2 linked regions of the Pelodiscus sinensis genome follow. The protein of the gene in region 2 interacts with the protein of the main gene of each other region in a pairwise test. Links are inferred from orthologs where the notes say so. Each region holds a gene or a part of one and is shown on either strand. Other genes may lie near its edges.

Region 1 (9,959 bases), on a different chromosome or scaffold from region 2:
CGTCATTAAAATGGTGATATACTCCAAAGATATTAGATATTCATACTAGCTGGTGTACCACAGATGTATTTTGAACTATGTTTTTTCTATTACAACTGTATCCAGAGACATGGATGCTGTACAAATATAGGACGATTTGATCCATACCTCAAAGCATTTTATCTGCATTTAATAGTCAACATATCCAGATTGTGCTACAGCACAATATTTACATTTCTACAGCTGCTACCTTATTTCTCAGTGCCTCAGTTCACCATCACTTATATGGACTTTTGCTATTAATATAGTCTATTACTATAATATGTATGTACCATATATACTAAGAACATATGCAATCGGTTTTTGACCAAACTAAAGAACAAATAAGGGCAACTATACTCCCTTTATATTTAATCTGAAGAACTTCCTGAGATTAATACAGTCATACAATTACTTATCACTTATTTCAGGAGTGCAATTTTTTTTTTTTTTTGCAATATCATTTTAACTGTCTGCCCTAATCACATTTCTCTTGTCATTTTTAAATAAACAAGTGAAACAAAAAACAAAGACATTCATCTTACCTGCTATTCTCCACAGCTTTCATAGCATATTCAACCTGAAATACTCTGCCATCTGGAGAGAATGTGGAAGCTGACAGGTCATACTGTAAAGGAAGAAAAACAAACATATTGCTCAGCATACATTTACAAATACAGCTCACACAGCGGTAGTACCAAGCTATTTTTCTATGAAAAGTCTTAAAGTGAGTCTCTGGAGAAAATCTGTACAAGAACGGCCATACTAGGTCAGACTCCAGGTCCATCTAGCCCAGCATTCTCTTCTGACAGTGGCCAATGCCAGGTGCCCCAGAGGAAATTAACAGAACAGGTTATGTAAAATCCTGTTCAACTGATTAACCGGTTTGACATGATGTTTGACGGGTTCGATGTGATGTTTAACCAGTTAGCCAATTATGGGGGGAGGGTGAGGAGGCAGGCAAAAAGGCCACAGGCAGACTGGTCTACCGCAGGCCTAGGCACATCATAGGCAGGGGCTGTTCCTGTTGTCTGTAATGGGATGACAAAGGATGGATCACTTGATGATAGGGACATGAAAGGTTAATCAATAAGTACCCTTAACAAGTGATGCTTACTGGTTGCAGTTAACATGTATGGGCTGGAGCACCTCCCTTCCAGCCATGGGCCTGGTCTGTACCATCTGCAAATTTTGCCACCTCCCTGTTTGCTCCTTTTTTTCAGATCATTTATGAATATGTTGGAGAGGCTATTTCATGAAAGCATCCATTATGAATATGTAAGTTTAATCCAGACCATCCAATGTTCCCAAAAAACAGTTTTCAGGTCTGATTCATTCTTAATCAGATTATCTTTTTATTATTTCTTACCGAGCCAAAGGCTATATCTACACTAGCACTTTTGTCAGTAAAATTTTGTCAATCAGGAGTGTTAAAAATACATCTTGACCAACATAAGTTCACAGACAAAGCTAAGTTGACATAGCTACCTCTGCTCATGTGGTTTAATTATCCCAGTGCAAAAATGATGTGTCTCAGCATATATTGGTTATAGTTGTGCTACTGTAACATCTGTAGTGCAGACACAACCAGGCTGCGTCTACACTGGCATGATTTTGCACAAATACTTTTAATGGAAAAGTTTTTCCCGCTAAAAGTATTTGCGCAAGAGAGCGTCTATACTGGCATGTGCCTTTCGCAAAAGATTGGATGCTTTTGCGCAAAAGCAAATCTTTTGCGCAAAGGCACATGCCAGTATAGATGCTCTCTTGCGCAAGAAAGCTTCAATGGCCATTTTAGCCATCGGGCTTTCTTGCACAAGAACTTGATGTTACCTGTCTACACCGGCCTCTTGCGCAAAAGGACTTATCTCTGAGCAGGAGTTTCAAAGTATTTGCGCAAGAAGCACTGATTTTGTACATTACAACGTCAGTGTTCTTGCGCAAAATCTTGCCAGTGTAGACGCAGCCCCATAGTCTTACGTACTGCATTATCCCAGGTCAGAATGGCAGAGATCCTTGCCAAGCACTTGCTCAGTGTGCATGTCTATAGAAAATAGCATCCTTTATAACAGTTGTGGGCAAAAGCAGCCAGCAGGGGAAAGAGAGCAGCAGATCTGTGTACTACATGTGCCCACAAGCACTGCCACTGGCGAGTTTCTGACAAATGGGAGGCTGCAAGGATGGTGATGGGGCAGGGGCAGGTTACGGAGACACATCCACTGGCCCCAGCAGCCAGTCACTTGAGCTGGGCCACCAGCTGGGAGCCGCCTATGGTGAGCATCTTCCGGACAGAGCCTGCACCTGACACCCCTTCCTGTACCCCAACCCCAGGTCACAGCTCCCTCCTGCACCCAAGCTCTCTGCACCCTAGCCCCAGGTCACAATCTCCTACTACCCAGAACTTCTTCCTGTAGCCAAACTCCATCCCAGACCCTGCACTTCCCTGTTAAGATCATAGAAAAGTGCAGCCCCTGACCACTTACCAAATTCTCAGAGTGGCCCCCCATCGAAAATTATTGCCCATCCTTGCTCTATAAATTAGGGATGTAAACTCCCATTTAAAATGTTAACTGGTTAAACTGTGTTTAATGGGTTAATCAGCCAGTGGTGCAGAAGGCGCAGTTGTTACCAGCTCAGCTAAGCCAGGCTAGGCCCTCACTTGCCATGTAGCACAGTGAACCCAGCCAGGCTGCTCTGTGCTTCAGACTGGGGGTCAGCCAGCTCTGATTGGGCCCCAGTTAACTGGTTACCCCAGTAAGTATACCGGTAAGGTGAATGTTTACTAGGTAACTAGTTAACCATGCATATCCCTAAGTTGAATGGCAAGTGCCCAGCCACTGCAGAGAATTCATCCCCAGGTCACTGACAACATGCACCTGAACTCAGAGAAGGGCATCCTGAATCTCTCCCTGCAGATGAGATGCCCCTTTTAAAAAACACAGCAGAGATTGGGGGAGTAGGTGTCATGGGGCAGAGAACATCCATACGCTGAGAAGAGTACATCAGTGGTCTGCGGCTGGACAGAGAACCCCATTCCCTCTTCCTAGAGCCCCAAATCCTTCCCACATACCCATTCACTTCACTTCCTATAGCCCCCCAGCTCCTCAGTTTTCAACTGGGGGGGGTCCATGAATCGTTTCAGGAGATCCACAAACCTGGTGGGGCTGAAGCCCTGAGCTCCAGCACCCTCTAACTCCAGGAGAAATGTTGAATTGTCGTATAACATATTTTGGGAACCTTAAAAGACAACAACCAAAAAACTGAGAGCCTATTGGTCTAGTGCCCCTAGAGCTTTCCGTTCAGGAAACAAATTGAGAAAATAGAAACGAGAAAATATAAGTGTCTGGTATTTTCTAAATAAGATGTAATGTAGATTGTGATGTAATGTCAAGTGTGTCCAGTATTTTTGTTGAAACCATCTGGCAACCCTACCCCAGCCCCTCCTTTCTCCTTGGCCCCTAGTGCCCCTTTCCCCATGGCCCCTAGGGCACCTCCCACCCAACCCCCCCTTTCCCCTTGGCCCCTAGTGCCCCTTCCCCCAGCCCCCCTTTCCCTCTAGTGCCCCTTCCCCCAGCCCCCCTTTCCCTCTAGTGCCCCTTTCCCCAGCCCCCCTTTCCTCCTAGTGCCCCTTCCCCCAGCCCCCCATTTCTCCTTGGCCCCGGTGCCCCTCCCCCCTTGGCCCCTAGTGCCCCTTCCCCCAGCCCCCCTTTCTCCATGGCCCCGGTGCCCCTCCCCCCTTGGCCCCTAGTGCCCCTCCCCCAAACCCCCTCCTCTTTCCTTGGCCCCTAGTGCCCCGCCCCCGCCTCGCGCTTACACTTTCGCTTTCCCAGTCGCGCGGGCCCAGGTGACTCAGCAGAGCGGCCCGGCGCACAACGGCCGCTCTGCCTCGCGCCCCGCGGGGGCGGGGGCGGGGGGGAGGAAGGCTCGCGCGCAGACTCCCCCTCCCCGCAAACTCTGTCAGCGGCGGGCCCGGCGAGCACGCGCACTCACCCCGGTGCCGATGGAGCTCATGGCGGCGGAGCCGTGCGGAGAACGAACGCCGGACAGACCCACAACACGCTGCGCTGAGTTCACGGGGCTGTGCGCGCGCCAGCGCGCGTTCCCATTGGTCCGCACAACAGCCAATCAGCTTCCACAGAAGGTTCCTTTGTGAACGTCAACGGGGCACTGACGCGAGGGCGCGGCCGGCCAGAGACTGTGACTCGAGAGGGGAGGAGTCTCGTAAGTGCGCCTCGAGATAATCAGTTCTACGCATGCTCCAGGCTACATTTCGAATAGCCCCTGGAGGAAGCTATTGTGCAACGCCCGGCTAGCTCAGTCGGTAGAGCATGGGACTCTTAATCCCAGGGTCGTGGGTTCGAGCCCCACGTTGGGCGATGATTTTGTTCTTCGACTGTTAGTGAGTATGGATGGCTTGTCTTGGTTCTTGTAATTTTACCCCAACAGCGATGGCAACAGCTCAGTTTGCGTGCGAAGGAGCCAGGTTCGGCCATACGCTTTGCAAAGCGAGACACAACCCCGCAGGGTGAACCTGGGGGGTGGAGGAAGTACCGTGCAGCGCTGCAGGGGCCTCTCTAGCCGGGCCCCTCTCCAAGGGTGGGGAACCCCCACTCAGCCCCTGCCTTCCCCTGTCTTCGTAAGGTCCTGCATTCACCAATCCCCTTGTGTTCCTGCACCCCATTCAGCCCCCTTCCTCCTATCAGCATATGTCCCTGCACCCCGCCTCTTCCCCCTCCTGCACCCCCCCTCCTCCCCCTCCATGTGCGCCTGCACCCCCACTCCTCCACCTCCTCCCCCTCCATGTGCGCCTGCACCCCCCCTCCTCCCCCTCCATGTGCGCCTGCACCCCCACTCCACCACCTCCGACCCCTCCATGTGCGCCTGCACCCCCACTCCACCACCTCCGACCCCTCCATGTGCGCCTGCACCCCCACTCCTCCACCTCCTCCCCCTCCATGTGCGCCTGCACCCCCACTCCACCACCTCCGACCCCTCCATGTGTCTGCACCCCCACTCCACCACCTCCCCCCGTGTGCCTGTACCCCCACTCCACCACCTCCTCCCCCTCCGTGTGCCTGCACCTCCCCTCCATGTCTGCACCCCCACTCCACCACCTCCGACCCCTCCGTGTGCCTGTAGCCCCACTCCACCACCTCCTCCCCGTGTGCCTGTACCCCCACTCCACCACCTCCTCCCCCTCCATGTGCCTGCACCTCCACTCCACCACTTCCCCTCCATGTGTCTGCACCCCCACTCCACCACCTCCTCCCCCCATGTGCCTGTACCCCCACTCCACCACCTCCTCCCCCCCTGTGTGCCTGTACCCCCACTCCACCACCTCCTCCCCCCGTGTGCCTGTACCCCCACTCCACCACCTCCTCCCCCGTGTGCCTGTACCCCCACTCCACCACCTCCTCCCGTGTGCCTGTACCCCCACTCCACCACCTCCCCCCCATGTGCCTGTACCCCCACTCCATCTCCTCCTTATGCCTGCCCCCACTCTCCACCAGCTGCTCCCCCACTCCACTATCTCCTCCTTGTGCCTGCCCCCCCTCCTTGTGCCTGCACCCCCACTCCACCACCTCCTCCCCCTCCATGTGTGCCTGCACCCCCCATGCAATGCTTCTACTCCAGCCTGGTTCTCTGCTAGCCCTTCTGAACTCCAGCTTAAGTGACTCCCCCAACGACCCCGTGTGCCCTGATTTCTCTCCTCCTTCCCCCCATATTCCCATAACTGTCTCCTCAGTGCGGCCAGGGTAAAGAAAGAAGCCTCTCCTCCCCCTCTGTAACTGGCTGCTCCTGCACATGCTCCAGCTGCCCTCTGTTCCAGCATGATACTGCTCCCTGGTGGGCAGAAGTAATTGCAGTGTATCGCTGGCAAAATGTATTTTCTGCAGGGAACGCAAATTCTGCAGTGGTGCGTAATTTCTCCAGGAGTGATATCTGAGAGCCCCATGTGAGGGTGTATTTGTTCAGGGGCCCAATCCTACAAACTGGCAGGTGCCTTTAGCTTTTGGAATAGTTTTGGGCCCTGTGGCACAAGAAAACTAATTCTTTATTTTTAAAAAGGTTATCTGAGGGGATTGTTTAACCAGGCTGCTTTCATAGTTGTTGCTATTCTATAATGTTAAGGCAAGCCAAATGCAAGTGTTTTAGGAAACTCTGCCTTACTATGTTCCAGATTAACACTAGGCAGAAGTCAGATGATAATCATTTTTACTTTTCCAGAACAGATATAACAAGGTTCAAGACTGTCTCACACCAGTGTGTGTGTGTGTGTGGAGAGGTGGGGGCAGGGACAACAGCATCATGCCTCATGCAAACTTCACTCAAAGGGCTGTCTTCTTCAAGGCTTCTCCCCTGGGCCAGCCTAGGAGTTGGAAGGGGCTGTGCAGGCTGCCCACCAGCCCTCCCTGAGACTGGCCCAGGGCAGAGGTGCCATGCAGGTCATTCTCTGGCATTCAGTAGGGCCAGCCAGGGGCAATGGTGGCTGCATGGCACTGTCAGTGGCTGCTCCTTGGGGGTGGTGGGAGCTGCATAGTAACCAGCAGTTGCTCCCCAAGGCAGGCAGATGTGGCAGGCGGCTGTGCTGCCAGCCAACAGCTGTTCTCTGGGGCTGGGGCACTTGCTGTCCCCCCCTTGGTCATTCATGAGTAAAACCGTCCCTGCTCCCACAGTTCTCCCTTTCCATTTGATGTGAAACAGTCACATTCCATGTACATCCCATTGTCCTGGCATGGACACACAATGACCCTGCTTTAAGTTATGACAATAGAAAGCTGCATGCCAAATTTAGTGGTCCTCACTTTTACCATATAGAGGAGTTTTTCAACAAATGGGCTCACAGACGGATGGATAGACAGACACACATTTCTAAAATATATAGTAAGAAAGAAAAAAATAGGGGAGTGCGCTAAATACTTGCCATTATCAGTGATTGTTCAAAGATTTCTATTACAAACTATCGCAGATAAATTCTGCCTAGATGCCAGGTGTGGACACAAAAATTAGTGTAGCTAATGTTAGAGATATTCTGCCTAGATCTGCTTAGCTCAAACGTATTCCTCAATAACGCTGGCAAAGAAAACAATTTAAGGCAAGAAGAGGCTACTATAATCATTAAGTCTGAGTTCATGTGTAATACAAGCCAGAAAACTTCACACAGTGATTCTTGGACACACCTATTAAAAAAATACCACTGCACGCCACACTATGTTTAGTTTCAAAATCAGTAATTTTTGTTTCTATATAAGCACATTTTATTTCTAAAACTACATTTTAGTAACCTCCAGAAACTGATCAATAGTCTGCAAGGGCCAAGGGAGGAATCAACCATGAAAATCCTATTAGTGGTAATGAAAGATTCTTAAAACAAAAATCTAAACAGTGATCTACACATTCATATTAAGGATTTAAAAGCACAAGAATCCATGTATTTCAGTAGTTAGTACAGTGTAGGTGAAAATCACCATTTAGCAGGAGATAGCTATGAGGCAGGCATATTGGTATAAATTAATGGCAGTCTGATCCTTAATTTTAAGTGAGGAATGTCAAAAGTAAGTCAAATCTTTGTCACTAAAGTGCACTTTGTGTTCATAATTCTCAAATAGAAGGCAATATACCATGAGTGCACAAAATACTACAGAAAACAATATTATAAATACTGGTGGAAATAATAAGAATTGACAAAAACGTGTGTGCACGAGACTCTCAAACTTTACAGATACTTTCCTGAGTAAGAGAATCTTGCAGTATGCAGTAACAAATTTATAAAATCCTATTAATTAATGTGATAATAGCATGCTGTGTGCATCCAAATATCGATTATTCTTTTTTTAAAAGGGTGAATTGTTGACTCAACCGACCTTTGAAATAATTAAAGTGGAGGGTGGAATTCTATACTCTGCAGTTGCTAACAGTATTTGCATCAACAGGACTAAAAACTTTTTCATTTGATTCTCTGATAGGAATTGGAAGTATTTTATTACTTTTGGTTTGTGTATCAATTTTTGTACCTCATTTACCTTATAGTTCAATTTTGTATTTTTATTTCATATTTATTGCTTTCGAATTATTTTTTTTTAATACCTATCTTGCTTTGCTGCTAATTTCCATCTCCATTCCAAAGAAAGTTAATGCTAATAACAAGCACATACTAATTATTTTAAGTTTTTCCATGTATAATTCCTAAGTGGTCAGATTTTGGGGGGTAAAAGTTGTTAGCAGGCAAGGTAAATTGACACTTTGACAACTTCATCCTGGAGCAAGTCCCTGTTCAGCTTCTGAATACAGGAATCTCGGTCTCTATAACAACCTCTATGGACACACAACAAAACACTTGCGTTTCCAGGAGACATTTTAATGTATGAACCAACAGGTTATATTAATATGTGCAATGTTTTATGGTGAGTGTGGCAGAGAAACTTCCCCACAAGGTTTCACAAGGAACCTTCTTTATTCTTCTAAGAGGTTAAAACAAAAAACAAAACAAAAACATCTAAAACTAAGCCTCTTAATTTTGTATCTACTGTACATATATAGAAAGCGCAAACAACTCAGTAACAACTTGTGCCAATTACATTATTTCCATAAAAAGAAAAAAAAAAGCACATAATCACATTTGTCAAAACTGGTGTTTTGGGAGAGAGGGGTTTAATCTAAATGTAGAATTGTATCCAACTGCAATATAGTTCCAGCCAACAAGATGCCCCCAAACGACACCTATATCATTCATTTTAAACAGCGCTACACCTGATTCACTAAATACACAAGAAGCAACTTGTACAGGTGTGCTTGAAGCAGGTGAAGACAATCCTTGTGTAGCTGCAATGTATTGAGATACTTATTTCTCGGTGGAAAAAGCCCTCTTCATGAGTGGCGGTGGTGCTTTGCCAACATCAAACATCATTTCCAAAGGAGGGTTATTGAGACAGCACCAGTCAGGTATACGACCTGTCTGACTGTAATATTCCTTGGAAACTGAACGGCTTCCAAGAATGTCCTGAAGAGCTCCAAAAATGGCTCCTACATTGTAAAACAAAATTAAATGGCACCTTAGTTCTCATCACACTAAATTTCTTTCTCCCTACCAATTTTCAACCAAGGCAGAAACAAAAAACTGAAGATACTAGGTCTACGCACTTTCCCTCTTATTTTATTGCTTCATTTCACACCCTTCATAAGTGACTGAATAAAAGACTCTCATGGGCTTTATTGCCAATAGTTACTTGCACAGGCCTTCCCCTGAAGCTATAACTCCAAGTGCTTCAAACAGATGCCACTAATTCCATTGTTAAATGAAATTCCCCCAGAAACTAAGAGCTATGGGAATCTGCTAGCATGGCAAAACATGCACAAGAGTTATGTTTGCGCAGGCGTGTGGAAAAGCAAGTCTACATTCCTGATACGGAGCTGCAGACGGGCTGATAAAACACACAATATCAAACATTGGCAGTTCTATGGCACTCTATTTCAACCAGTGTTAAAAATTTATTTCTCTTACATTCTACTCTAGTTATGCACAAGGCTTTGTTTATTATCTGAAAGAGATTATACATTCAAAAATTGGCAGAAGAAATCCTTTTAGCCTCACAGAATCACCATGAAGCACTTCTCTTAACCCTTCTCTTTCCCAGATTCACAACACCGCATCCAAAATCCAACACAGAGCCTGAATATTCTGTGTCTACAGCAGATATCTGGGTTGTGCAATGGAGTTAGCAGTCCTTGCCCAGCTCATGATTGGCAGCTGCTCAGTCAATAACTGTCCCCCACTTCTTTTTAGGGGGATCAGAGTCTTCTTCATTTGCACTCAGCTCTGACCAAGGGCATAACCGCTTCCTGGCTGGCTGATGGGAAGAAGTGGCCGGAGCTACCAATATAGCAATTAGAAGCCCTAGCCCACTGTGGTTCCACAGGCCCAGTGTTGACACCTCACTGCC
Region 2 (10,306 bases):
GTATTAGCATGTCTGCACTCCCACAAATGTATGCCAGCAGAAAAGCTTCTTTGTACAGAAAAAATCTCATTGACTTTAATCCCTTTCTCCTATGACTTCCATGGAGCTACACACAGAAGTAAGGCTGCAGGACATAGCCCCTATCCTTACACTAAACTATATATTAGCTAAAAAGTCTCTGAGGGGTAGCTGTGTTTAATCTGTAACTTTAAAAATGAGTAGCCCCTTGGCACCTTAGAGAGTGACAAATAGATTTAGTATCATGAGCTTTCTTGGGCAAAACTCACTTCTTCAGCTGCATCTCATCTGGATGTATCTCATCAGGAAAGCTCATGATTGTGTGTGTGTGTGTGTGTGTGTGTAAAAATATATAAAAAATATTATATTCTAAGGCGCCATGGGGCTACTCATTATTTTTATATATTTGCTAGTTAGTGTATAATAGTTCAAAACTACTGCTGATCCCAAAAATATCCCGATAAAACTTTTTTGTTAATTTTCAATGAAAATTTCGCAATGATTCATTTAGATAAAATTGAAATATTTCATTTCAACTTTGTTTCAACTTTTGTTATGTTCTGTTATAACTTATAAGATAAAAGTTGAAATCTTTTGCCTTTTTATATTATCTAATTTTAAAATATAAGTCAAGTCAGATAAATTTGAAATGAAAGTCATGTTATTAAAAAAAGGTTTTACCTTATTGAAATGAAACATTTCAACATTTACAAATGAAATTTTGGAATTTTCATTTCATTTTTATTTTGGAACAATTTTTTAAAACATATTCAGAATATCCTGTTGAATGGGAATTGGAGTTTCAAACAGCTCTACTCAAAACTATATTGTCACTATGTTTTGGGGTTTTTTAAAGAAAGGCACTAATAAGCTTTTAAATAAGATAAAAAAGTGTGTCTCTGATAAATACCTGTTTTATTGCCTTCCTTAATAACATAGGAATTAATCACTAATCACTAAAAATCTATTTCATAAACATTAAACATACTCTCTAAACTTACACACTTAAATTTATGGAGGCTAGCATTCATAACCTATGGCTACATCTAGACTGTAGGCTTCTTTTGGAGGAAGCTTTTCCAGAAGAGATCTTCTGAAAAAACTTCTTCTGAAAGAGAATATCCACACTGCCAAAGCACATCGAAAAAGTGATCTGCTTTTTCAAAAGACAGTGTCCACACTGAATGAACGCTATCTCACATTTAAGCTGTGATTACTATGGACGGAATGGCCAACAGAACACCTGTGTTTTTTTCTGGAGTCTTCTTCTTTCGAAAGAACTCCCTCTTCCCTATCCAAACACGCCTTTTTCTGAAAGAGCTCTTTCAGAAAAAAGGCTTCTTCCTTGTGGATAGAGGTTTACCAATGTTGGGAAAAAACCTCTGTTCTTTCGATTCTTTTTTCAAAAGAACGCAATTGGGGTGTGGATGTAAGTGAAGGTTTTTTGGGAAAATGGCCATTTTTCTGAAAGAACTCTGCAGTGTAGACATAGCCCCAGATTCTCTGCCTATAACTTTTTCGCAGCAAAGTGAGATAAGGACAAAACTCCATTTCCAAATCTCTCAAAGCGAAGTTAGTTAGTTAGTTATAATGGTATTATTTTATAAAATCATGTTGTAGTGATTTTATAACAAAAGTGCACAATGTTATACCCATTGCAAATGACCAACAAAAATGTATTGTATCAAAGAGAAATGTAACTGAAGCGCATAATCCAAGAATGAAGCACAAAACTCAGGGACTGTATTTACAACTAAATTATAAAGTGTCATTCTACATTGCTATTTTACATAAATATTAATAGAGAACTGAGTCTAAAATCAGCATTTTATGTTTGGATTAGCTACTACAACAACAAGTATACATGCTTTTTTGCTTCGGGATCATAGAATTCTCTTTTTTCCAAATTCTCAGACGGGATATCTAGTAAACATGGGCCCAGATTTCAAGTGTATATGAATTTGCTGAGATTATTAACACTGAAATCTGGATCTAAATTTTGTAGTTGGCTCCCAACTTAATCACGGATTGAGCCTAAATGCTGGATTCAACCTTCCCAGAATTTTGGGGCGTCTGCAATCCCAGATCAAAATTTTGCAGGTGGGACCCATCAATAGTGGGAACAGCAGTAGAACAGAAAAAATCTGCCATTCCAAGCAAATGGCATAAAAAGGCTTCTCTGATTATCGTAACTGACATATTAATGGGGACCCAGTTTTCAGACGTAGCCACCTAAATAACTATCCAAACTCTACATTTGGTTGTCTGAATCAGAACTTGGTCACATAAAGTGGCCTTTATGTCCAACTAAGTGCCAAACTGGGCATCCAAATAAAAAAAGTATGCATCTCATTTTCTTGCGTACACTTGAAAACTGGTTTATACTGGTAACCTTAGAAAACATTTTGTAGGTGACGTATCATCCAAAGCTCATGAATAGCACCAAATTAGATAAATTGGTACGTTTAATTTCAAACCATATTAAACAATACATTGATTAACTCCTTCTTTTTAACATTAGTTATAAAGTACTGGAGAAACATGTAATTTTATCAGAAAGCTTGCTAATTTGGGATAGATCACTCCCTACCATTGGAAAAGGGGGAGAGGGGAGTATAGAAAAGAATCACAAGGAAGAAAAATGTGTTCATTCAGTCATTGGGGGAAAAGTATATTCCCACTTCAGAGGAAGCACAACCCCCAGAACCCATGAATCTCAGAGGATCCATCACCAGCCAGAGTTGTCTGTACCTGGTCTCGAGTGCCCTGCCCTGCATTAGGAGCTAAGCAGCCAGGGACTTGATGTCCCACAAAACATTCTGATGTCTCACAGACAAGTTAATATGGGGCCAAGCGATGATCTAGATACTCTTTTGTAGAAACGTGACACATTCTACTCCTCATTCCTACTATGCCTTCTTGTATAAAAGTTGCTATTTGTGTTGTTGCCTGCCTTATACAAATAACTTACATGCTTACATCACACTCTTTGCTAAATGTGCAGTCAGACTTTGCTAACTTGATCATTAGAAACTGTAGTTGACGGGCCATTGGTTGATAAAAAATATAACTGAGTAGATAGCATTTTATCATGTTATCATCCTTGGTGGATAATCTTACTATTTATGACATTGGTTGTAACTTAGTCTTTTAAAAATGAAACTGGATCTCACTCAAGTGTTCAAATATCACTGCTTTCAGACTGCATATATCAAAGGTACTGAGAGATACAAACGTGTATTCACACACCCAATAAAGCTCTGTTTTAAAAAAAAGAGTAGTAATTCTTTCTTTTTTATGGGACAGCTCGATGACAGTTCAGTTGCTCATATAATACTTGAATGAATATGTCCTAGGTAATGGTCAGAGATGAACAAACTATACTAGCCTATCAATTGCATACCTACTAACCCTATCTCTGCCTTTGTGAGGTCCCAGTAAACCTTACTGAAACTTTCACTATAAAGTCAGTGAAGTGTGTAACAAGCTACAATGGCTGCTGGAAAGGAAAGGTCAACTACTCAGCTTCATATGAAAGAATTTGCACTATTGAAAACTGCAAAGATTATCAATCTCACTGAGAAATCATTCCTCAATATATTGATTATACCTCATACAACTAATAGCAGTATTTAAAAAACTGCCAGTAGATATGTTATAATGACAACATATACCACATGTCAAGGCATACAGTCATTATTTTTAAACTAGTAGTTGATAAATAACTTTCCTATATTTATAGATATATCTACTAAACTAACAAAGATTTCAGTAAAAACTCTTTCATGGTAAACTTACCAATTGTTGAAGTTGGAATGAGCTAAGCTCTCTACCTGCTTTCCTGTTGGCAATCTCTCCTGCTCCCTGTATTGAGATTGCAGTAAACTTAGAAAATGAGCAAGGACAATGTTTCAAATGACTTAAGAAAGAGAACAGGAACAATCACTTCGTTCTCTTTTTTCAGATGAGTACAGTACCTTCAGAAAGAAGGAAGGAAGGGAGGGGAGAGGAAGTCAACAACTCTTTGCTTTCCTGCAAAAAAATAAGGAAACAGTAGATAGCCATCTCATTTTCGCTCAAACAAAATGTTTGGAAAAATAAATACAACTGAACCAAAAGGAATTCCTCAAGTATTATATCTGCATTATTGGCTTCATAAGGACTAATTTATAGCTGTCTCTGTGCAACTACAACAAAACAAATGAAGTTCTAAAAGTAGTATCTAGGATTAAAATGCCCATATCTCATGCAGAGAACTCCATTAGCCAAAAGGGTACAGATAACATAATCCTACATGCCAAACAAGGAGAAATCTTATGTCACAGTAAAAACAACACACACACAGAGAGAGAGAGAGAGAGAGAGAGAGAAAGGAATGAAACATCTCTTGGTGCGTTAAAAATAAATTAACAAATTTAACTTTTACAGAATGTTATAAAACTGAAACACTTTTTGAGTCTCATAGATAAAGTGTAGGGGTCATATTTATCTGAAGTCAGAATTACACCAGAGATTAATTCAGCCTTTCTAAGAATGGAAAACCATAGCATACATGCAAAATGCCGCTGTGTATATCAAAATTAGATTTATCATGCTGTAGATATATTTTAATGCTGCTTAAGTGGGAAAAGAGGCAGAACTGAATTTAAACAACAAGGAGTCTGGTGGCACTTTAAAGACTAACAAATTTATTAGGATATTAAAACATAAGTTTTCATGAGCTACAACTCACTTCCTCAGATGCTGAAGAGATAAAGAAAGGCACAGTGAGTGAATGACCATACTTATGAATAGGCCTGCTGAAAGCAGGGGCAAAGAGGGCAGCAGCCCTAGGGCCCAGCAATTTTCCTAGGGTCTTGGGCTCCATACCTCCACCGCAGCACTTACAGGAACATTGGCCAGAGCCCCAGGCCCTTATAATTGCCACTGGAGCATAGTGCCGCGCACTCTGGGCAGTTCTGAGGTCTGGGTGTGGTGAGGAGGCTAGCACAGCATGCTTCGGGTGGTGCCGAGGGCTTCCCCCAGTCCTTCCCCTTCCTCCCGAGATCCTACCTCTTCTGGGAGCATGGCGCTATTCCCCCACCCCCCACCTCTCGCCTCCTTGCCCAGAGCCCAGCAAGTCTGTTGCCCACCCCTGCTTATGAATCAATTTGTTATATTCCACTCTTCATTTTCATGGCTGCTTATTTTTCATCCAGTCACAGTAACAACCCATAGAAAATTATTTTTCTTTCACCAATTTGTGAATTTATTGACATTTTTACTCTAAGACAAACATTGGTGCCATTAAGGGTTTCAGGTTTTTCCCTGGACTGTCTTCAACAAGCATTGAGTAAAAAGTCATCTTTGTGCCCTGATAGTTTTTCCGTGTGGTAGCAAAGGGTGGAAGGCTTTTTGATGAACACTAAAGGTATAAAGTTAAATGAACCTTGTTGAAATTAACGGCATTATAGAAGTATAAATCCATTGTTAATGAGAGTAGAATTTGGTCAATTGTCCTATATTATTAATAAATTGTTATTTACTGTACAATAATGAGACATGAAAAGCTGACAGACTGAAAAAGTACCTTTATGCATAGAATAGTACTGGTACTATTCCCAGGAGAAGTCTTACCACTGACTTAATTGTAAAAACCTTCAATTCATATTTAAGCCACTTAAAACTTTAATTATGAAAGTCAGGCTTTGACATAACTAGGCGGGTGAAAGAATGATGTGACTAGTATTTCCTGTTGTATGTGGAAAAGATAAAACATTAACGAGGGGGCAAATAAAAAAACAAAGATGAAAAGGGTAGACCTGTGGCACCTTAGAAACTAACAAATATATTATATCCTGAGCTTTCATGAGTAAAACCCACTTCATTACATGAGTTGGATTGGAAATTACAGAATACAGAGTATATATAACAGCAAAAGCAGTTACCTGTCTATTGTAGGACCAGTGTTAATAATGCTAGATGTGTCCCATTCATAGTTTTTGATGTGCAAATGTGTATATCAAAGGCATGGAAAATTACCTTTGTAGAGTGTTAACCAATTAATATCTTTATTCAAGCCCAAGTTGATGGTGTCGAACTTGTAAATGAATTCCAAGTTCAGCAGTCTCCCTCTGTAATTGGGTGATAAAATTCCTTTGTAGAAGAATAGTTACTTTTAAATCCATTATAGAATATTCAGGGAGGTTAAAATGTCCCCCTATAGGTTTGTGTTACCATTCCCGACAGATTTGTGTCCATTAATCCTTTGTCACAGAGACTTAGCAGAGGGGCATTGGCAGAGGGGCATTGCTGGCACTTGATGTCATACATCATATTAGAGGATGTGCAGTTGTATGAGCCGCAGATGTTGTGACATATGTGGTTAGGTTCTGTGATGGCGTTGCCTGTATTGATGTGTGGACAGAGTTGGCAACTAGGTTTGTGGCAGCGGTAGGTTCCTGGGTGAGTGTATCTGAAGGTAAAGACTGGCCTGTCTCCCAAGGTCTGTGAGAGTGAGGGGTTGTTTTCCAGGACAGGTTGTATATTGTCAATGATGCACTGGAGAGGTTTAAGCTAGGGGCTGTAGGTAATGACCAGTGGTGTTCTGTTATTTTCCTTGTTTTGTCTGGAACTATGTGACTTCTGGGTACTTCTCTGGCTCTGTCAATCTGTTTCCTCACTTCCCCAAGTGGGTATTTAAGTTTAAAGAATGCTTGATAAAGATTGCATAGGAATTTGTCTCTGTCTGTGGGATTGGAGCAGGTCTGGCTGTATCTTATGGCTTGGTTGTAGACAACAGATTGTGTGATGTGTCCTGGATGGAAGCTAGAGGCATGTAAATAAGAATAGTGGTCAGTAGGTTTCTAGTTTAGTGTGGTCTTTGTGTGACCATTATTTATCTGTACTGTATTGTCAAGAAAGTGAATCTCTTGTGTGGACTGGTCCAGGATGAGGTTGATACTGGGGTGGAAATTGTTGAAATCTCTGTGGAATTTTTTAAGAGTCTCCTTCCTGTGGGTCTATATGGTGATGATGCCATCAATGTAGTGTAAGTAGAGAAGGTGTGGCAGGAGAAGGGAGCTGAGGAAACATTGTTCTAGGTCAGCCATAAAAACGTTAGCATTTTGTGGGGCCATATGTGTGCCCATAGCAGTGCACTGACTTAAAGATATAGATTGTCCCCAAAATGGAAATAGTTATGGGTGAGGACACAGTCACACGCTTAGCCACCAGGTATGCTGTGGCATTATCAGGGATACTGTTCCTAACAGCTTGTAGTGCATCTTCATGTGAAATGTTTGTATAAAGAGCTTCTTCATCTATGGTAGCCAGATGGTGTTTTCAGGAAGATTAGTGATGCTCTGTCGTTTCCTCAGGAAGTCAGTGGTGACTTGAAGATAGTTAGAAGTGCTGGTAGCATAGTGCCTGAGGAGAGAGTCAACATAGCAAAGGGTTAACTTTAAATATATGTGCCATTCCAGAAGTATTTAGTCATTCCTCAGAGAAAGAGTATGTAGTCAAATGGCATTTCTGCCAAGTACTGAGTATGAGTAATGTAAGGAGGATATGAAAAGGGATGATGGAGGCATATCATGCACCATTTTAACAGTCAGAGTAAAATCTGTATTTATTTTGAAAAACATTTCCCAATAGTCCTAAGTCCCAAAATATGACAACAACTTCCAGTATTTCAAGCTATTAGTAAATTATTTTATGGAGATCCACCTTGTATGCAGGATTGCTACACCGAAAACAATGATCAAATATAATAATTTGGTTGTTCCCCATTTGGAACATACTGCAGAATTTAGTCAAGAGCTGATATAGTCAGAGGAGAAGCATTATCCTAGAGATCAAGACAGAGATATTTGAGTCATATTGAGTCCATCTTGAATTACAAACTTCATGGTGACTGACATCTCTTACTTTTCAAAAAGAGCATTTATTTTTGTGAAGCTTTTCAAAAGCTAAAGTGCTGTGCTGTACCCCCACAACATTGAAAGAAATTCTTGGCTCTTAAATCAAAAAACTTTCCTCAGGGTGTGCCGGGCCAAGTCTGGGCACAGCTGAGGGCGTCTGCTCAGGGCGAATTGCTCAAATCCGGGGCTCCTTACAGCCCCCAGACTGGTGACCTCTCCAAACAGGCCACAAACCAGTCTCACAGAGCGCTTCAGCTGCCTGCCTGAAGCCTCACGAGCAAAACCCCTCTGACACCCCAGCAATATCCGTGCCCCAGATGGCCCCGGGCCTCATACACAGATGGGGGGTCCTAGCACCCAATCCCACCTACCCCAAACAAGTCCTGTCCGGTTCCAAGAAACCAGCCACAGATCCCTAGTCAATTTACCCTCTGGATCTTACCCACAAATCACGCTGGGCCAATCCTTTAGAATCTATATCTAAAGGTTTATTATCACCAGAAAGAAAAGCATGAGAGTAAGGTTGCTAAAGAATCATACATCACATGCATCGAAACTCCCAGCCCTCGATGCAGGCTCTAGCAGAGATGTTACAGCTGCTGGTTTAAAAGTTCTTGTTGCACATCCTAGCATCAGGATGGGTTCACTGGTCTTCCGGGCTCTTCGATCCCTGCAATGCTGCCTCTGGGATGAAGTGCTGAGCTGAGAACAAGATGGCGTTGACCACATGGCCTATTTATCCCTCCTTCCTGGTCCCTTCTTGGCTGTAGCAGGTCACCTGGTCAGAGGCCAATCTCTGTGTTCCCTGCTGGCAGCTCTCAGGTGACAGCCCCCATTCTTTAGGTGTGTCCTTGGCCCATTGAAAGCCATTGTCCCACAGGGCCTCGCTAATTAGCATGTCCACAGGCCTGGCCCTGCCCAATGCTCAACCACATGCAGGGAAATCTTCAGTATCCATACAATTACATGCTAATAATTGCATACACAGACATTATACAAACACATGAACAGCGTACATAGGATTATCAGACAGTAAGCTTCTATTCAATACCTCACATGGCCCCCTTCTATACCATTTTTGGGGCCAACACCCCCACTTATGGGTGCATCAGTGATCTGGCTGCTCCCCTCAAGATCCAGTAACGTGACACAGGGATAGACAAAACATATGTTTTTGATGCTTTCAGAAGTGAAGTTGAAGAAAAATCAGACCTATGTGCTATCATTGAATATAAGGATGCCAGATTCACCAGGCTAGAGCATGGCTTCTGTACTTTGACTCCAGACATTGATTGGTTTAAAAAAAACCCAAAAAACCAAACACACCTAATTATGGCATCAGTCATTAATATGTAAACCATCTACTAGACTATTTTTATACTTCATACTTTTATACTTTATACTGAGTGAAGAAGAAAAGGAGAGCTTCATACTGCAGTGGCTGCATTATAATCCAGTCAAATCGACAACAAATGGTAGTGTGCATTGATATTTAACAAAACTTCTAACTGCCATGTGCAGTTGTCTATTAGGATATATTACTAGTGGTGGAAATACCCTTGTTGTTTTTCTGTTGTGCTGCAGTAGTAGAATACATGTTTCCTCAATTAATTTATCAAAACAAACCAATTCACATATATGCATCAAAGTAGAAGCTCCGGGCCCATCAGTCTACTCTCTATAAGCCTGAATGTAAATAAAACACAAAATATATTCATGGACACAGTCAAAATGAGCACTCTGCAGACAGCATGAATGGAGGGCTTAACTAATGATGTTCTTCATGATCAAATCTAGATTTGAAACAAATGGACACTAAAAATGGTTAATTGGGTACTGGATTTGTTTTCCATGAATTTGAAATAATTTGATAGATTATTAATTCTGACCTAGTCTCAGTCTGTGGTAGCTGGCATTTTTTCATTTTACAATTTAATGAGGACACATTTTAACAAATCAGACCAAGAATGAATCAGACATGCTGAAAACAATACATAAATAAATTAAATAAATAAAATTAAATAAAATACAAAACCTTGTCACAACCATCCACAACAAAACAAAATGAATGTAGAGCAATACCTTCAGACAATTGCACCAGTAACAATACTTCATTTTAATTTGAGAGAATAAAATTTGGACATTATCACATAACCACATTATCATGTTGGCCAACAAAATTAGATCTTAGTTACTTGTGAGCAAATGCCTCAGGATAAACAATGAGGGGTCCTATGGCACCTTAGACTAACAAACTCATTTGGGCATAAGCTTTCATGGTCTGGAATCCACTTCATCAGTGCATCAGAATGTTTTCCTCCCAGCCTCATGTGTGCTGATGGCTTGTTTAAGTAATGCATAGTAATGTTTCCTTGACCTAAAACCAG

What was found. The genes of interacting proteins can lie anywhere in the genome.
Region 1: the proteins of ZNF366 (region 2) and PSMA3 interact in binary tests that used the Homo sapiens proteins (3 or more experiments, as listed by UniProt). The link is inferred for Pelodiscus sinensis from reciprocal best matches to the Homo sapiens genes ZNF366 and PSMA3.

The regions. Positions count from the first base shown.
Region 1 is NC_134714.1:11,337,791-11,347,749, reverse strand, and holds the start of PSMA3 (proteasome subunit alpha type-3), read right to left. Parts: upstream 4,165-9,959; 5' UTR 4,030-4,164; coding exon 4,009-4,029; intron 647-4,008; coding exon 564-646; intron 1-563. Other genes in the region: ACTR10 (actin-related protein 10), read right to left, coding at 8,861-9,042. UniProt on the Homo sapiens protein: Component of the 20S core proteasome complex involved in the proteolytic degradation of most intracellular proteins. This complex plays numerous essential roles within the cell by associating with different regulatory particles.
Region 2 is NC_134716.1:82,424,397-82,434,702, forward strand, and holds the start of ZNF366 (zinc finger protein 366), read right to left. Parts: upstream 3,975-10,306; 5' UTR 3,817-3,974; intron 1-3,816. UniProt on the Homo sapiens protein: Has transcriptional repression activity. Acts as a corepressor of ESR1; the function seems to involve CTBP1 and histone deacetylases.